Drosophila melanogaster: one gene and its partners. The protein of the gene in region 1 interacts with the protein of each later gene in a pairwise test. Each region holds a gene or a part of one and is shown in the gene's direction. Other genes may lie near its edges.

Region 1 (4,664 bases):
GCATTTAATAATATGATACGAGTTGTGAAGCGACATCCTTTAAGGAGACTTGGTGATCAGCTAAGTCGATATATGTATGTAGCAATGTCCGTTAATTTTGATACATATGTTTGATACATATTAATCTACAATTACTTGTGAAAAATAACTTTATAATGGTACCCTTTTATAAAAATTAAGGACTTTCCGGGTGGACGAACACATAACCAAACGTGTGTAGCTTTAGGTAGAGTACAGATCGAGCACGTTCGTGCGTGTTCGGTACTTCATGGACCACATGGACTAAAAAGATCTTCAGGTAAGCCATATATGTTAGGATATAAATAAAGTGAACCTTGGATATTAACACAAATGAATATATATACCTGGTACTTAAATCAAAATGTTCGATAAAAAGGATATACCCAAGATATACAGAAACTGTTTACACACTGTGAAATAAGTTGAATTTTTGACTTTAAAGCTAAAAATTAAAGGTTTTTTGCTTAATTAAACGCAATTTTTTTTATAAAATATAATTAAACAATATTTATTTTACTTATAAATCAAAAAACAAATTAAAAATATTAAATATACAAGAAAATAAACAACAAATTCCAAGTTTACATACTTTTGAGACTGTCACACTATAAACTTGTGCGTACACTTAATGAGTTCAATTCGGGTGTTTGAATCTAACTGACTCGCTGCTGCGAGGGCTTCGCCTTTTATTCATTCTTACATAGGTTCTTATCAACCAATTATATAATGCAGCGCTTGTAAGACGCCGCAGTCTACGTTGGTAAATGCATCTGAGTTTTATTCTTAAATCTATGTTTGAGACCTATCTCTTGACACTTCGGCAATGGGCCGCTGCAACCGTACTTATCTGTAGTTGCCACTTATGCTGTCCAGTGACATGTTTATTCCAGCCCATAAATAGGACATATTTATAGTTTGCCTTCTTATCATGTCTAAACACATATTTAAACAACATATGTACATATTTTTAACAATGCAAGTCCGTGCTCCACAAGAAACGGGTATACCATATCCTTTTTCATCTCTTTTATAATTTCTGGCGTAAATACATATGTACATACATACGTATTTAAGAAATGTTCTTGTTCTTTTCTATTGGTGTCCTTTTATTGTACCTACGTTCCCATAACTCGAAGTGGGCATCATAAAACCGTTGAACACTAATGACAATTTAAAAAATATTAAAGGCTTATCAGTAAAAAGGCTTATCAGTACTATTCTAAGCACTTTAAAACGATTGAAGGAACTGTGAATGCCTGCCATAAGATGGTGCAAAAATAAAATGCTTTTTTGTTTAGCCTTATCTCAAATAAGTCTAGCTGTTATTCTGATTCTTAAACGTACTTCTAAACAAACGAGAAGACAGCGTAGATCGCATAAATAGAATGTGTTCACACATGAACACGAATATATTTAAAGACTTACAATTTTGGGCTCCGTTCATATCTTATGTAAATGAATCGAGAGCGATAAATTATATTTAGGATTTTGTTATCTAAGGCGACATGGGTGCATTGCTCAAAAACATGTAATTTAAGTGCACACTACATGAGTCAGTCACTTGAGATCGTTCCCCGCCTCCTAAAATAGTCCCTTAGTGGGAGACCACAGATAAGGTCCTCGCCGCTCAAGATAGGCAGATGTGCCCGAGCGTGGGACCTCGATAAGGCGGGGACTATTTACTTAGGCCTCTGCGTAGGCCATTTACTTTAAGATGCGATTCTCATGTCACCTATTTAAACCGAAGATATTTCCAAATAAAATCAGTTTCTTACAAAAACTCAACGAGTAAAGTCTTCTTATTTGGGATTTTACAGAATGCGATCGCCTTTTCTTCTTTTAGTCCGCAGAGAAACGTCGAGCTGCGCAGTTGTGAGCTGGGCGTTGGAACTTTATATTTTATTTACACATATGTATATATGCATATGTACTTAGATCGAGTGTAACTGTTAAAAAGCATGGCCGGCCACCCTAGTGAATTTAACGTGAAAGCGATCCTACAGAACAGTTGTTATTTATAATTCCACCAACCGAAGAGTGTCATGGACGCTGAAAGTGATAGCGATGTGGAGATCATAGAGACGGAACTCATGAACCATCATCACCACCATCGCCAGACGGAACCAAAGAGGCATCCCGCAAAGATGTACCCGCAAATTCCATCCGCCATACCCTCCCCACCATTTTCACCCACTGATCCTACGGATATGCCGCTGGTCAAGGAGATTCTGGCTCGCAGTGAACATATAAATGTTCCCGAAGGAACCGTGCTCTGTGTTCCGTGCTACCTGTGCAAACAGCCCTTCAATGATATTGAATCCTTCAAGGAGCACCTCACCCAACATGCGGCGGAAATTAACGCCTGGAATAACACGCGTGCGCAGGAGCAGACACCTCCGCCGACGATAACACCCTTTGTTCAGTCCATGAATAAACCATTCGTGCATCCCACAGATCAGCACTTATTTCATTCCATTGATCATGGTGACATGGATCACCATCACAATGCCCACTACCGCAATCGGATGGAGTTTGGCTGTCCGCCACCCATGGATTTTTACTCACCGCCGCTCGAACCAGAAATTCCATTTCAAATGCCTGCGGTTCATCAACATCCGATTCAGATACCACCCATGTATATGACCGCTCAGCATACGGCTTATGAGCCACCAGTGCAGTTTTTAGGTCATCGGCCACTCGAACTGCGCCAAAAACTTCCAATGTCACCGCAATCTCCTCTGGAGCCTTCTGGTCATCCAATGGCAAGCGCGATTCCAAGTAACCAACATACTTCGCTTGAAATGCAAAACCTTTGTGTGCCGGAAGGAATTCTCACAAGGGTGGAGGAACCACCGGTCTTGGAAAATCCCCGACCCCAAGCACAAGATCCGATTCAGGATGCGGGTGCAGGGAAGTCCCGATCGGCGGTTCTGATCGAACCCAAGCCCCCAAATGCCAAATCCTTGGCTTTCAATCAAGGTCAGTTCGAGTGCAATTGGTGCGGAAAGCGATTGAGCTCCCGCCAGTCGCTGAAATACCACGAGAGCCACTTCCACGGGAATAAAGAGCTGGCTGTGAATCGGTTAGAGAAGAATTTGACCAAGCAGCATAAGTGCCTCACATGCAAGAAACGCTACAAGCGGCGGACCTTCCTCCTGATGCACATGAAGGTCAAACACGGGATTGCTTTCCCGGGCAGAGTAAATGCTGATCCCGAATATCCAAAATCTGTAGATTCGCCTGTATCCGCGAAGGTTCCTGTCTCCCCAATGTCGTCGCCGAACGAGGCACCGAAAAAGGAGATATGGAGCACACGAATATTCAACGCTGTGGCGGCAGCAAAGTATCAACCGGCCAGCGAGCGGGCGGACAAGTATCTGGTTGCGCCACGTCAGCAAACCGAGCAGTTGGAATCGGGTTTTACGATCACGTCCAAACGGACATATCCACTTCGTTCGCCCTACTTCAATCCGTATGTTCAGATAGTTTTCATCATCGTCATACAACACCTCTGAATTTTCGACTGTTTTTTAGGGATCTATGGCTGGACTGCGATTCATACTTATAGGTTGAACTTGGCTGGATTTTAAGAAGCTTGGGGTATCAAATATTCGAGCTAATAAGATAGCCAATAGCGCCCTTGTTATTTTTACTTATAAAATATCACTTCGTTTCATGGAGCTTCTGACTATGTACGATGTACATACATAATAGCATGGATACATATCGCACTCGCAAGCGATTTATTCTGTAGCCTCAGCACTTTGGATCTGGATCTCGACGTCGAAGTCCCAAAGCCCCAAACTTCTTGTCATAATAAAGAAACTAAAAACGCTGAGCATTGCAATACATTTTAAGCACTCGGACGCTCAAATTCGTCCGTTTCTGTCATAAGTTTTGTACATAAAATGGAAATAAAGAAACGCCCAAGCAAAACCCATAAAAACTGTGATTTTTTATTTTTTACTAAGTGTCCTTCAGTCCCTTAAAAATGGAGGCTCTTCGCAGTGGGTATTCTCCGGTTACCCGAAGTACCTAAAGTGGAAAGCCGACCCCCCGTTTATATTTTGCTGATAGTCCCTTTAAGAGCAAAAGATATTTGACGTACACATGTTTTTTGCATCGAGTTAAAATATAACAATTTTCTCAGCAGGCCAGAGATCTAAATAATAAAGAATTTGGATGTATGTGTAAACATATTATTCACTTATCCATATTCTTTTTCATCTTTATCATATTTGTCCTAACTATAAATGCGTTATAATTTATAACATATCATTCTAACCCGAAACATTTACTATTTTTGTAATATTAGTACTTGCAGTACGAAAGGCATTTTTCGTTCTTTAAAATATTTCAAACGGGTCATAATCCGCTGTTTATTTAAATTAAGAAATATATTATTTTAAAACAACTTGTTAAATAATTTTAAATAATAATTTATAAATAAAGTAATAAGGGAACATAATGCTTAAGTACGCCTTTTATTTCCAGTTTCTCGGCTGAGCAACGCGAACGTTATCAGAAAATTGAGCTTAGAACCTACACAAATTTGTTTGTTACTTGCTTGCTAATCTTTATGTTCGTCTGGTGTTTAGTTTGCGAATCCAAAATAAATTCAAACATTCTTCAGGCCATGCATA
Region 2 (4,686 bases), on another chromosome or scaffold:
GACCTAGCTTGAGTCACGGCACCGATTCATTTGATCTGCTGATTGGACTTTCCTCATCGAATGATCATTGCCGAGCACTTAATTGCCGAGTGGAATGTTTAGGACAGCAATCTTCAGTTGTTTTTCATTGTACACAAAATTGGAAGTCACTCTCATGTGGCCGGCAAATGGCATGTTCCCTATGTTTAGGGGTAATTGTATGCAAGTGTAAATATTAAGTTAGCAGAAGTCTCGTAGGGTAAGGATATTTACTAATTCGGTGTGGTGATATCATATAGATTTGCTTCTAGGGACTTTAATCAGACCATTAAGCTCGAATGCAATCTTTGCGCTTATTTCACTTAAGCAATTATATTTTATCTTTATGTTCAAACTTTTTAGGGCAGATAGTGCATACGCTAGAGTGCTTTCGTTCTACTCACTACTAACTCACTACAAATCACTACCTAAATAGGCTAATAGACGCATTTTAAAGACCCCAATTTCGGTAAATTCATGAAATTATAAATTCTCTTTTTTATAGTCCTATTTATGAATTATAAATGCACAAATTCATTTTCATACGCGCAACGGCAACTGTGAAAAGTGAGGAATCCCAATAACCAAAAATTAACAGGGACTTGGTGGCAGAAAATTTAACACTCATGAGAACTACAGGGTGCGAGGGCAAAGCTTGGGTTAACAGGATGATAGGTACACAGAAAAAAAAAACTATTCCATTGAAATTTGCGATCATCATTCATACGGTGTTTATGTTTTTGGAGTAGTTGATTCAAAATTGTAAAAAAAAAACCCTGTGTTTCCTTTAGCAATGTGGTCCAATCAGTTCATCATTTTATGCATATAATCTAAATAATAAAATTGAACCTGATTACACATCAAAATCAAATTTCTCTCCGTGCATCGGGGGAGAGAACAATAAATGTACACGGGGTTGCTGTTGCTTTTATTCCTTAAGGACGGGAATAACACACTAACCGCATGGGAGAGAAAAGAAGTGGAAGAGGGGAGGTGGGTAGGGAAAAGGAGCGAAAGAAGGAGAAGCGGCAGGAGCATAATAAAGACAAAAAGTACGTGGGTGGAAAACAACAAATACAGCCCAAATTGTATAAACTCACGGAACAGTTATTTCCCTCTATGGGTGGAAAATTGTTGCTGCTAATTCCCTTGCTGCTGTTGTTGTTGTTGTTGTTGCCGCTGCTGCGTAGGCGTAACAGTTGTTTTGCCGATGTGTGTGTGTGTGTTCTAGTATAATTTGCAGCATCTGCAGTGCAATAAATTCCACTAAACGAACATTAGCCACTTTCAATAGAACCAAAAATCTCACTGCAATTAAGCAATAACCGCGCAAGCAATCAATCCCGATTAGTTAAAGGAATATACGCGCGTACGCACAGATTTTTAAACAATCATCCGCTTTCGCCGAAAGAGTGCCGGCACTCGAAAAATACCTCCGCTTTAATCAAGAGTCCGCGGGCAATTGAAAAAGCTCTCGCTTCGCGTGTTCACGGCGTGTACCTACATAGGTACGCATCAATTAGGTACCTGCCGCCCACTGCTTTAATCGTAAGTGCATTTCTGATTTAAAAGTGTGACACGAGCCTTATAAGTCTTATAATTTATATTTTATGCAAACAGCTTTACAAATTTTTAATGTGTAGAAAGAAACTGCGTTTTATTGAATTTGAGCATCATCAAACTTCAACCCCAAAGAATTACACATAAGTAGTTTCGTTTTTGCTACCAAAGATGCTGACGTTTATTTTGCGTATTAGATATGGCTTTGTTACAATTTTAGTAAAAGTATTTTAAAATGGAAAGGTACAAATCTGAACTTTAATAAAACACAAAATTGTTTAATTTAAAAACTTCAAATATTCAAAAATTCCTATAATTCAATTAAGTAACCCACTGTGCAGCGGCTTATCGATTTCCTCCGACAATCGATTGGACCATGTTGTTTAATTTCGCGACATATCGATACTATCGTGGTAGATTGGCCATTGACCAACGCGTTTTATTTGCTACCGGTGTGGCTTTTGTTTGCTTAAACAATTGGATAATTTATTGCAATCCCGGCTTAAATGCATATGATTGAAGAATGCATACATCGGATATCAGCATGACCCAGGATCAGGATGTGAGCACTTGTCGCCTGTGCCACCATAATACGGATCCCAACTCGCTAAACATTTTCGATGACACCGTGCAGTTTTGCAAGGATGTGTCCATTGCAGAGGTTTCCAAGAGTCTCTGGAGCGTTCAGGTGAGTGGGCCATTTATAATCCATGGAAAAAGTGCATGAATAACTTCTCCACCTACAGTACGATCGCAACGAATGTTTGTCGGAGCTCATTTGCTCAAGGTGTCTGGAGATCCTCGAAGAGGCATTCGAGCTGCGAAAAGGAATGCAGGAGCGGGAACAGTCCCTGCAGGAGCAGCTGAAGGAGATGATTAAAGATCATCCGAAGCACCGTCCAGGCCTGAATGGCAACCCCGGAGTATTCGTACCCGAGGAGGGCTGCATTATTGTGGAAGTTGATCCAGAGAATCTGGCAGAGAGCAGTGAAGAGGAATTCGCACTCGGCTCCGATGGGGAGTACGAAAACTATGACGACGATGATGAGGAGGAGGAGGAAGACTACGATGAGGAGGACGAGGAAGATGGCCAGAACGGCGAAGACGTCGACATGCCACTGGGCATGGATGCGGCCCAGATGGCGGCTCAACAGTCCGTTGCCAACAACGCCAACACCACGGAGGCACGGCCAAAACGAGCGTTCCTCTGTCAATACTGTGATCTTGGGTTCACTCTGCCCGCCGAGTGTCAAGAGCACGAGCTGGCTGCACACGATCCCAACGCACCGTACTGCTGCAACTTTTGCAACATCAAGCTGGTTACCCGGCCTGCTTTGATTTCGCACATAAAGACACTGCATGATCCGGACCGTCCGTATGTGTGTGCTCACTGTCGGAAGGGTTTTGTGCGCCGCTCCGATCTTAAAAAGCACACAATCGTGCACACTGGCGTGAGGCCCTTCACATGCAACGTTTGCTCCAAGAGTTTCTCGCGGAATACAAATCTGACCAAGCACATGCGCATTCATAGCGGTGTCAAGCCCTTTGTTTGCCAGCAGTGTCCGCGATCCTTCCAGACGGCTGTGGAAATGATGCGCCACACACGTTCGCACGGAGAGGTAAAGGCTTTCCAATGTGGACGCTGTCCCTACTCGTTTTCGCGCAGGGATAAGCTAATAGCCCACCAGCAAGTCCATACCAGGCGGGACATGGAGCAGCAGCAGCAAATGGGTCTAATTCCCCCGATGGAGGGTGATCTGCAGCAGCAGGCGTTGCAGGCTAAACAAAAGGCTGCCGCACAAACCAAAAACTCACGCTATTACCACTGTGATGTCTGCGATCGAACTTTCCAACGGGAGAGGGACCTGCAACGCCATCAAGCTCTTCACATGGACTCGCTGTTCGCCTGCAAGACATGTAATCAAGGTTTCAACCGACGCGAGCAACTGCAGCGCCATGAGCTAGAGGCTCATGGTCCCAGCTTTACGTGCGGAATCTGTTGCATTAGCTTCCTGCATCAAATTGAGCTGGAGAATCACCTCAAAGTCCATCAGTTGCAGCACAAGATGGCCCAGCGGGCTCAAGAGGCTGCTATTTTACCCCTAAAAATGGCCGAAAAGGCTCCAGTGGCTATGACGGCTCCGCTAGTTCAGGATCCCCAGCTAGTGCGTCCCTCGGCAGCGGAACTGTCGTTCTACAGCAACATGATTCCCACAATGAATCTGGGCTTCTACAGCGAGACTCGTCCCGAGGAATAGAACAACATATTTACATGTTTAATAAGCTTAGTTGATAGGTCGGAAAAGTTTTGTAGGTCAAGGCTGTTTTAGTCGTTCAGGTCAACATAGAATCCATTGGTGTTAATGAATCTGTATAGTTTAAGTCATCTGACTATTGTCTGCCAAAATGTAGCTTAGTGGTTTTTAATAAAAGGCCAAATCTGAAACGGTTTTCTTCGAGATCGTATGACTTTGTGAAGATATTATTTTTCATAAGATATTAAAGAAAGTTTTCTGCTCTATAAAAAACTTCTTAAAGTTAAGTTATGTTAAACCTATTTAAAGTAGGTTTACTTAATATATAAATAAAATATCAAGTAAGGTATTTGAACATTTTGTATTAGCAGTCGTCTCAGACCAACATGTTGCGTGCAACAAGTTGCACGTTGTCCGATACGAAGAAGGTCTTCTCCGAAATCTTCAGAGCAACTGCACCGCTGCAGATTCTTTCTTGAGTTCGCCCCGTACGGTAGTGCCTCTCGACCAGCGCTCTCGGATCTTGATCGCCTCGAAATCTCGTAATCGCCTCGAAGTGCGCGTAGTGAATTGTGCTGGTGCTGACAGTGTAACGTAACGTTTGATAGAATAATAAATAATAAGTATTGGAGTGGGAGATCCGCAAAGAAATGTGGCCAAGCTACCATAAATAAAGTGCGGATTTCAAACGAGACGATAAATCTATTCCCGAAACGGGCACGCAATCGAGGGAATACGAATCCACCTTACGGTTCGCTTGGTTTTGGTTAGGTTCAGGTTCCGCTGAGAGCGGTAAGTACGCAATTACCTTCGCCATTGCCAAGGGTCACTTCGCAGGCGATTTATGTGTATG
Region 3 (5,755 bases), on another chromosome or scaffold:
TGCAACTGCATAGCAAGCAAATTCTTGCAGTGAAAAATCATCTACTACTTTTACTATATTTTATGTACATACATTTAAAGTTTCTTCAAAGCTAACGGATTACATTTGTTTTATTTTTTTGTGTGTAAACTCGCCATTTGCTTTGTTCTTTTTTGGCATTTTCCTTGTCTGCCCGCTCCACGTGCTCTTGCATTGATTTACTTTGATGGGCCGCTAATTGGGGCCTCCTTCGTCTTTCCATTTCCGTTTCCGCCAGTTTCGCTGGCTCGTAATGATCGTTGGCATTCCGGGTAGTTTATCAAACGGTAAATTGAACACCCGTTTGGCAGGCAAAAGGGTGGAGCCAAGGGGACGGCTAATTGGGGTTGGGTTTGGGGTTGACCTGCGGCTGTAGATAGTTCGTATTGCCAACTTAGTTTGGGGATTTGGGCCAAAAACGTTTCCAAGACTTAATACTACTAACATCGGCCAAAAAGGACCATAAAATGAAATTGACAAAGTTTATTTACTGATAAGTCGTAAACTGAAATACTAAATCTAAAGGTAATTCGACTCTGAATTGCACTTCGACATTGAATATCATGTTGTATACAGTGAAAATTTAACTAAATTAAGATTTAAAACAAATTATTAATGTGCGTTGTTTTGTCGATTTTACCTGTCCAAATTTAGATATTTATACTTATGATGTATCTACGATGTAATTTCTTAGCTTATTGCTTCATTAATTATGTCTATCCCCACATAGCCCTGCCCCAGTGGCTTTTCCACCTATTCACAAAATATTAATAATCCAGCGTCGCCATATTGTCCCGCAATATTTTCCGACTGCTTAGGTACCGCCCATTTGCCATGAGCGAGGGAGACGCTACCAGTGAGCCAATTATCCATTTATATCATAATTTCAATAACTTTTTATACACTCGCCCTCGGAAGGGAAACGGGTGTTTACCAATGGGTGTGTGGGCAGGGTTGCTCTGATAGGTGGGTGGCTCGGGTGGCTGGTGGTGGATTGCTCCCTTTGGTGGGTGATTCCTTTTTATGTAACTGCCTGGTGGATGCTCCTGAATAATGACGATGACTATCAACGATGATTATGATGACGATGATGATGATGAGGCTTCGGTTGACGATGTTTTTATGCCTCAGCTACATCTCATCTCCTTCTTTCCTTTGTTGGCTCTTTCAATGGCTCTGATCTAAGCTGAGTGCAGGGTTGTCAACTGTAGCAAAACAAAGTCATGGGCGAAAGTCTAAAAAGGAGATTTTAACGCTTTGCTGTTTTGAAGATATTGCTTTTAAAAGACAAATAATAAATCTATATCTTTCGGATGTGTTGTACCAATATGTTTTAAAATATCATATATATGAATGTATAATAGAGAGACTTTCTAAATGTACACTTTAATCGTTCAAATGCTTAGGAACATAATAGATTTAAACTAAATTAAGGTACAAATAATTGTAACAAATTTAATTATAAAAAATTAGGTATGTACATAATTGTGTCAAAAACCAAGATACCAAGATTATTTAAAACAATTTTTCATTTAAATTTAATTCTGTTTTCGTTAGCACAAAAAATTAAATGTATTCATGAAAACGAACAAAGTTCAAAGCACTTAATTACTAGTTAATGAATACTATTAGTGAAAGTTTTGACAACCCTGGTTGAGAGCAAAAAAAAGCCAAAGGAAAAGCGGATAGAAAAATCACAACGGCAACTCACGCACACCCACAAAAAGAATCACTCACCCGCACACAGACACAAACAAGCGCACCGCAGCAAACAGAAAGCAGCGCTGCCAGCTTCGCTGCCGGCGTTCGCTGCCGATAATGTAAAAATTTTACGGCCACGAACTTTTAGTTCAGTTCAGTTTGCAACACGTTCGCGTTCGCATGTGTTTCCGGCAGTTAAACTTCCGCTCGATTTTCTATTCGATTTCCGTTACTGCCGTTGGGCGCAGAACTGTAGGCAACACTTTTTGCAGTGCCGTCGGAAAAGCAAATTTTTCAGATTGAAAACTGTGTTCGTGAAAATAATAGTGAAAGTACTGAAAACTGATTAACTCACGCTTGGATTATCTTTTGAGTTGATTACATCTGCAATTGAAATCAATGTAATTAGAACTTCATTGGTTTAGAAGGTTTGTAACTTTTGCAATTTATAAGAATTTTTGGCCCAAATCGAGTTCCGTCGGCTTTTTAATTCAAGATTACTAAAAAAGATTTCTGATTTTGGATATGCCATTAAAAGAATTATTTGAGATTTACCAGCGTTGAGCTTGTAAACATAGCAATAATGTATAATTTATTATGCCCAATATTTTAAAATGCATTCAATGCTTAAAATTTTATAACGGATTCTCTAAAAATTTATCATTCAGCTAAAATCTGTATGTTTCAATAAGATAAATACCTAAAATTTTCAATACAAAATCATATTTATGATAGCTCAGATGATAGCTTAAATTTGATTTAAAGTGCTTATATGTTTTTACAAGTTTCTTATCGTTATTAATTTTTTTCAAATTGAACAAAGACTGATAAATGAACATGAGTGATTAGAAAGATACAAAATAGGATAACATACTAGCTTTTCTCTCAGGATCTAAGCTCCACAATTAATGTAGCTAGAAATTCACAGCCGGAATGTGTGTGAAATCCACTTGTTACACCCAAATGGCATTCTCCTAATGAAGCTCATTTGGCCCGCACACGACATTAGCCTCGCATATTTAGTCAAATCAGCTTAAATGCAGCTTGAGACATTCGCATATTTGGCCTAAAGCACAAACAATGAGCGACAACAGTGCTGAGGACTTGGGATGGTGCTTCACCTGGGAGAGCAACTACATCTGCCACAATGAAGCAGCAACTGTGACAAAGTCTCAATTAGGCTATCACATTGCCACAAAACGATTCAGGTTTGGCTTACCTGGGCAAACACAATGCATGCGAGCGAGAGAAGCTGGCATTAAGCAAATTATACACTTTTCAAAATTATTCTACATAAGCTGATATTATAAAATTTTAACCCTTGTAATGAATGCCAGAAATAATGTACAAAAAGGATCCATTTTAACATTGAAATATAGAGTTATAATTCTAACTTATATGCAAAAGTTGCAGATTCCTCTGTTGATTAAAAATATTAAAGATCCTTTAAAAGAAAATTTACTTCTTATAATTAAAGATATTGTTCTTATTTTAATATCTAATTTGATAGGACCATGTTTATAGACGATTGTAAACTAGAAATATTGGTATTGTTAACCTTAGATACTGTTGTTTCTACTTATATTAAGTTAGTAATACTTCAGTTCCAAAATTGTCATTGTGTAGGGAAAGTCATCAAAAGGTCCGTCCCAACCAGTTGTAGTTCCATTGTTCCATCTCCCACCACTTAGCTGAGCTGACCAAGCACTTCATGGTAGAGCAACTTCTTCAGCCAGCGATCACATTTCACTTAATTGTGGATTTAATCGGGGAGTCGTTGACACCTGGCAGCCACAGAAGCTCCACAGCAGAGCAACAATTAAACAGAGGCATTTCTCCCATTTGCAGAGCGACCGAGAATCCCGGAGGCCAGCGGCAGAAGGCGGACGACAACTCGGAGACAGTGGCAAATACCTAAGCATGCTGCAGAATCCTTCCAAATATCACGCAAATCCCTTGTCGCACTTCCTGGCATTGCATAACACACAAGCCAGTGGCGGCGGCAGCGGCGGGGGATCGTCGGTCGCCGGACTTGGAGGTTTGGGTGGGGGCATTCATGCACATGGTCAACCGCATCATGCAGCGCTGGCAGCGGCTGCAGCAGCGGCGGTCGCTGTCTCGGCGGGTCAGAGTTCATACCAAATGGAGCACCAGCAGCAGCATCATCAGTTGCAGCAGCAGCAGCAGCAGCAGCAACATCATCATCATCAGCAGCTGCACACCCACCACCAGGATGGCCACCACCCACACCCACCGACACCCACCACCGGCAACAACAACAACAACAGCAGTAGCAGCAGCAACAGCAGCAGCCACAACAGCAACAGCAACCACCGGGAACAGTTGGCGGCGGCGGCAGCCACTGCGACGTCGCACGCGCAGCTCATCGAGGCGGCAGCGGCGCATTCCTCCCTCGACGTGGGCAAGTCCTTTACCATCGCCGCCATTTTGGGCCTGCAGAGCCAGCGCAAGGACTACAACAATGCCATCAATCTCTCCCTGCACGACAACAACAACATCATCGGTGACGACAACAACAAGTGCTACACGAGCAACCCCAACAACAACAACAACAACAACAATAACGGCGGCAGCAACAGTGGCAACAACAACAGCAGCCCGAGTGTAAACAACTTCAATTGTGATAGTGTCGCCGGTAATGGACGTTACCTGCACGGCGGACACCAGCATCCGCATCCGCACCAGGCGGGATTTGCAGCGGTTGCCGCCGCCGTCGGAGCAGCTCCCTCCGCCCTGCAGAGCCTGCAGCAGCTCCACCAGCAACACCACGCTCAGCAGCAGGCCACCCTGAGCTTTCAGCGGGAAAAACTCAAGTCGGGTAAGCAGGTGTTTCAGTCGATGAATAACCCATGATTTGATCATAAGTGGGTATTAAGTAAACATAGTGTGTGCACATCTAATACCTCCATTTGATCATCATTTTGTGATTCGGCAGATTCTCACAAGAAGAGCGCACTGAAGAACAAGCGCGTCCGGACAATCTTCACGCCGGAGCAGTTGGAGTGCCTGGAGGCGGAGTTCGAGCGCCAGCAGTACATGGTCGGCCCGGAGCGGCTCTACTTGGCACACACCCTAAAGTTAACGGAGGCTCAGGTGAAGGTGTGGTTCCAGAATAGGCGGATCAAGTGGCGCAAGCACCACTTGGAACTGACACAACAACGGCTGGCATTGATAAGGCAAACTCAACTGCCAGGTACATCGTTATTGGGCAATCAAGTATCCGTGTCGGCCAATGCGGCCCATTCTGTGTCCACGGAACGCACAAACGGATGCAGTGCAGCCTCGCCCAGCCTGCAGGAGGAGGACAACGAGGATAGCAAGCACTCGCTGTCGCTTTCGGGCGCATTACCGCCGTTGAGTCGAGCGCAGTCCGAGTCGGATTTGTCCATCTGTAACGATTCCCTGGACGGCGACAGCCTCATGGACGGCAGCGAGGAGGCCTAAAAACCACGCCAGTGCAAAGCAAGTTTCCTGTAAATATAGTCAAATAAATATGTACAATATCGGTTTTCTATACTTCTGCTTGTCTTTAATTGTTGATGATTAGCTGCAAGTTGATTGTTACAATCAATCAATGCAAACTATATTATATTGTATAAGCATTGCAGTATATCCATTACATACGAGTACTGAAAAAGCTTATTTAAAAACAGAATAATACAGACATTTACACTCAATTCGCACTTTATACCTTGATCAGTTATCACATTGGAGTATTTCACTTATTGCTGAGCAGCCGCCCTGGCGAGCCGATCGTGGCAGGATAGGTGCACGATGTGCCCATTTGGATAGCGCACGAAGGCGGACTGGGTTTGAAAACGCTTCTTGCACTCGGAACACACACTAGACTCGTTTAACTCGAAGCTAATGTTTCGCTGCTCCTCCAAGGCATTCTCCAGGCGCGTGGACTCTGCCTCCAGGAAGCCGCACATCATCTGCATCTCGTGCTTGTCGGCCATCATTTTACGTATAGATTTCTCCAAGTATTTCTCCAGCTGGGGCATGGGCATGTCAT

Evidence for each region.
Region 2: the proteins of Lime (region 1) and prg interact in a two-hybrid assay, tested with the Drosophila melanogaster proteins (one large-scale study listed by BioGRID).
Region 3: the proteins of Lime (region 1) and CG18599 interact in a two-hybrid assay, tested with the Drosophila melanogaster proteins (one large-scale study listed by BioGRID).

What each region holds. Positions count from the first base shown.
Region 1 is NT_033778.4:9,869,687-9,874,350, forward strand, and holds Lime (linking immunity and metabolism), read left to right. Parts: upstream 1-1,783; 5' UTR 1,784-2,063; coding exon 2,064-3,493; intron 3,494-3,555; coding exon 3,556-3,589; 3' UTR 3,590-3,960; downstream 3,961-4,664.
Region 2 is NT_033779.5:8,462,509-8,467,194, forward strand, and holds prg (piragua), read left to right. Parts: upstream 1-1,979; 5' UTR 1,980-2,101; coding exon 2,102-2,266; intron 2,267-2,324; coding exon 2,325-3,836; 3' UTR 3,837-4,186; downstream 4,187-4,686. UniProt on the Drosophila melanogaster protein: May be involved in transcriptional regulation. The function of this protein is unclear.
Region 3 is NT_033777.3:18,265,918-18,271,672, forward strand, and holds CG18599 (uncharacterized protein), read left to right. Parts: upstream 1-1,871; 5' UTR 1,872-2,147; intron 2,148-3,567; 5' UTR 3,568-3,639; coding exon 3,640-4,558; intron 4,559-4,675; coding exon 4,676-5,184; 3' UTR 5,185-5,255; downstream 5,256-5,755. Other genes in the region: Vps39 (vacuolar protein sorting 39), read right to left, coding at 5,463-5,755.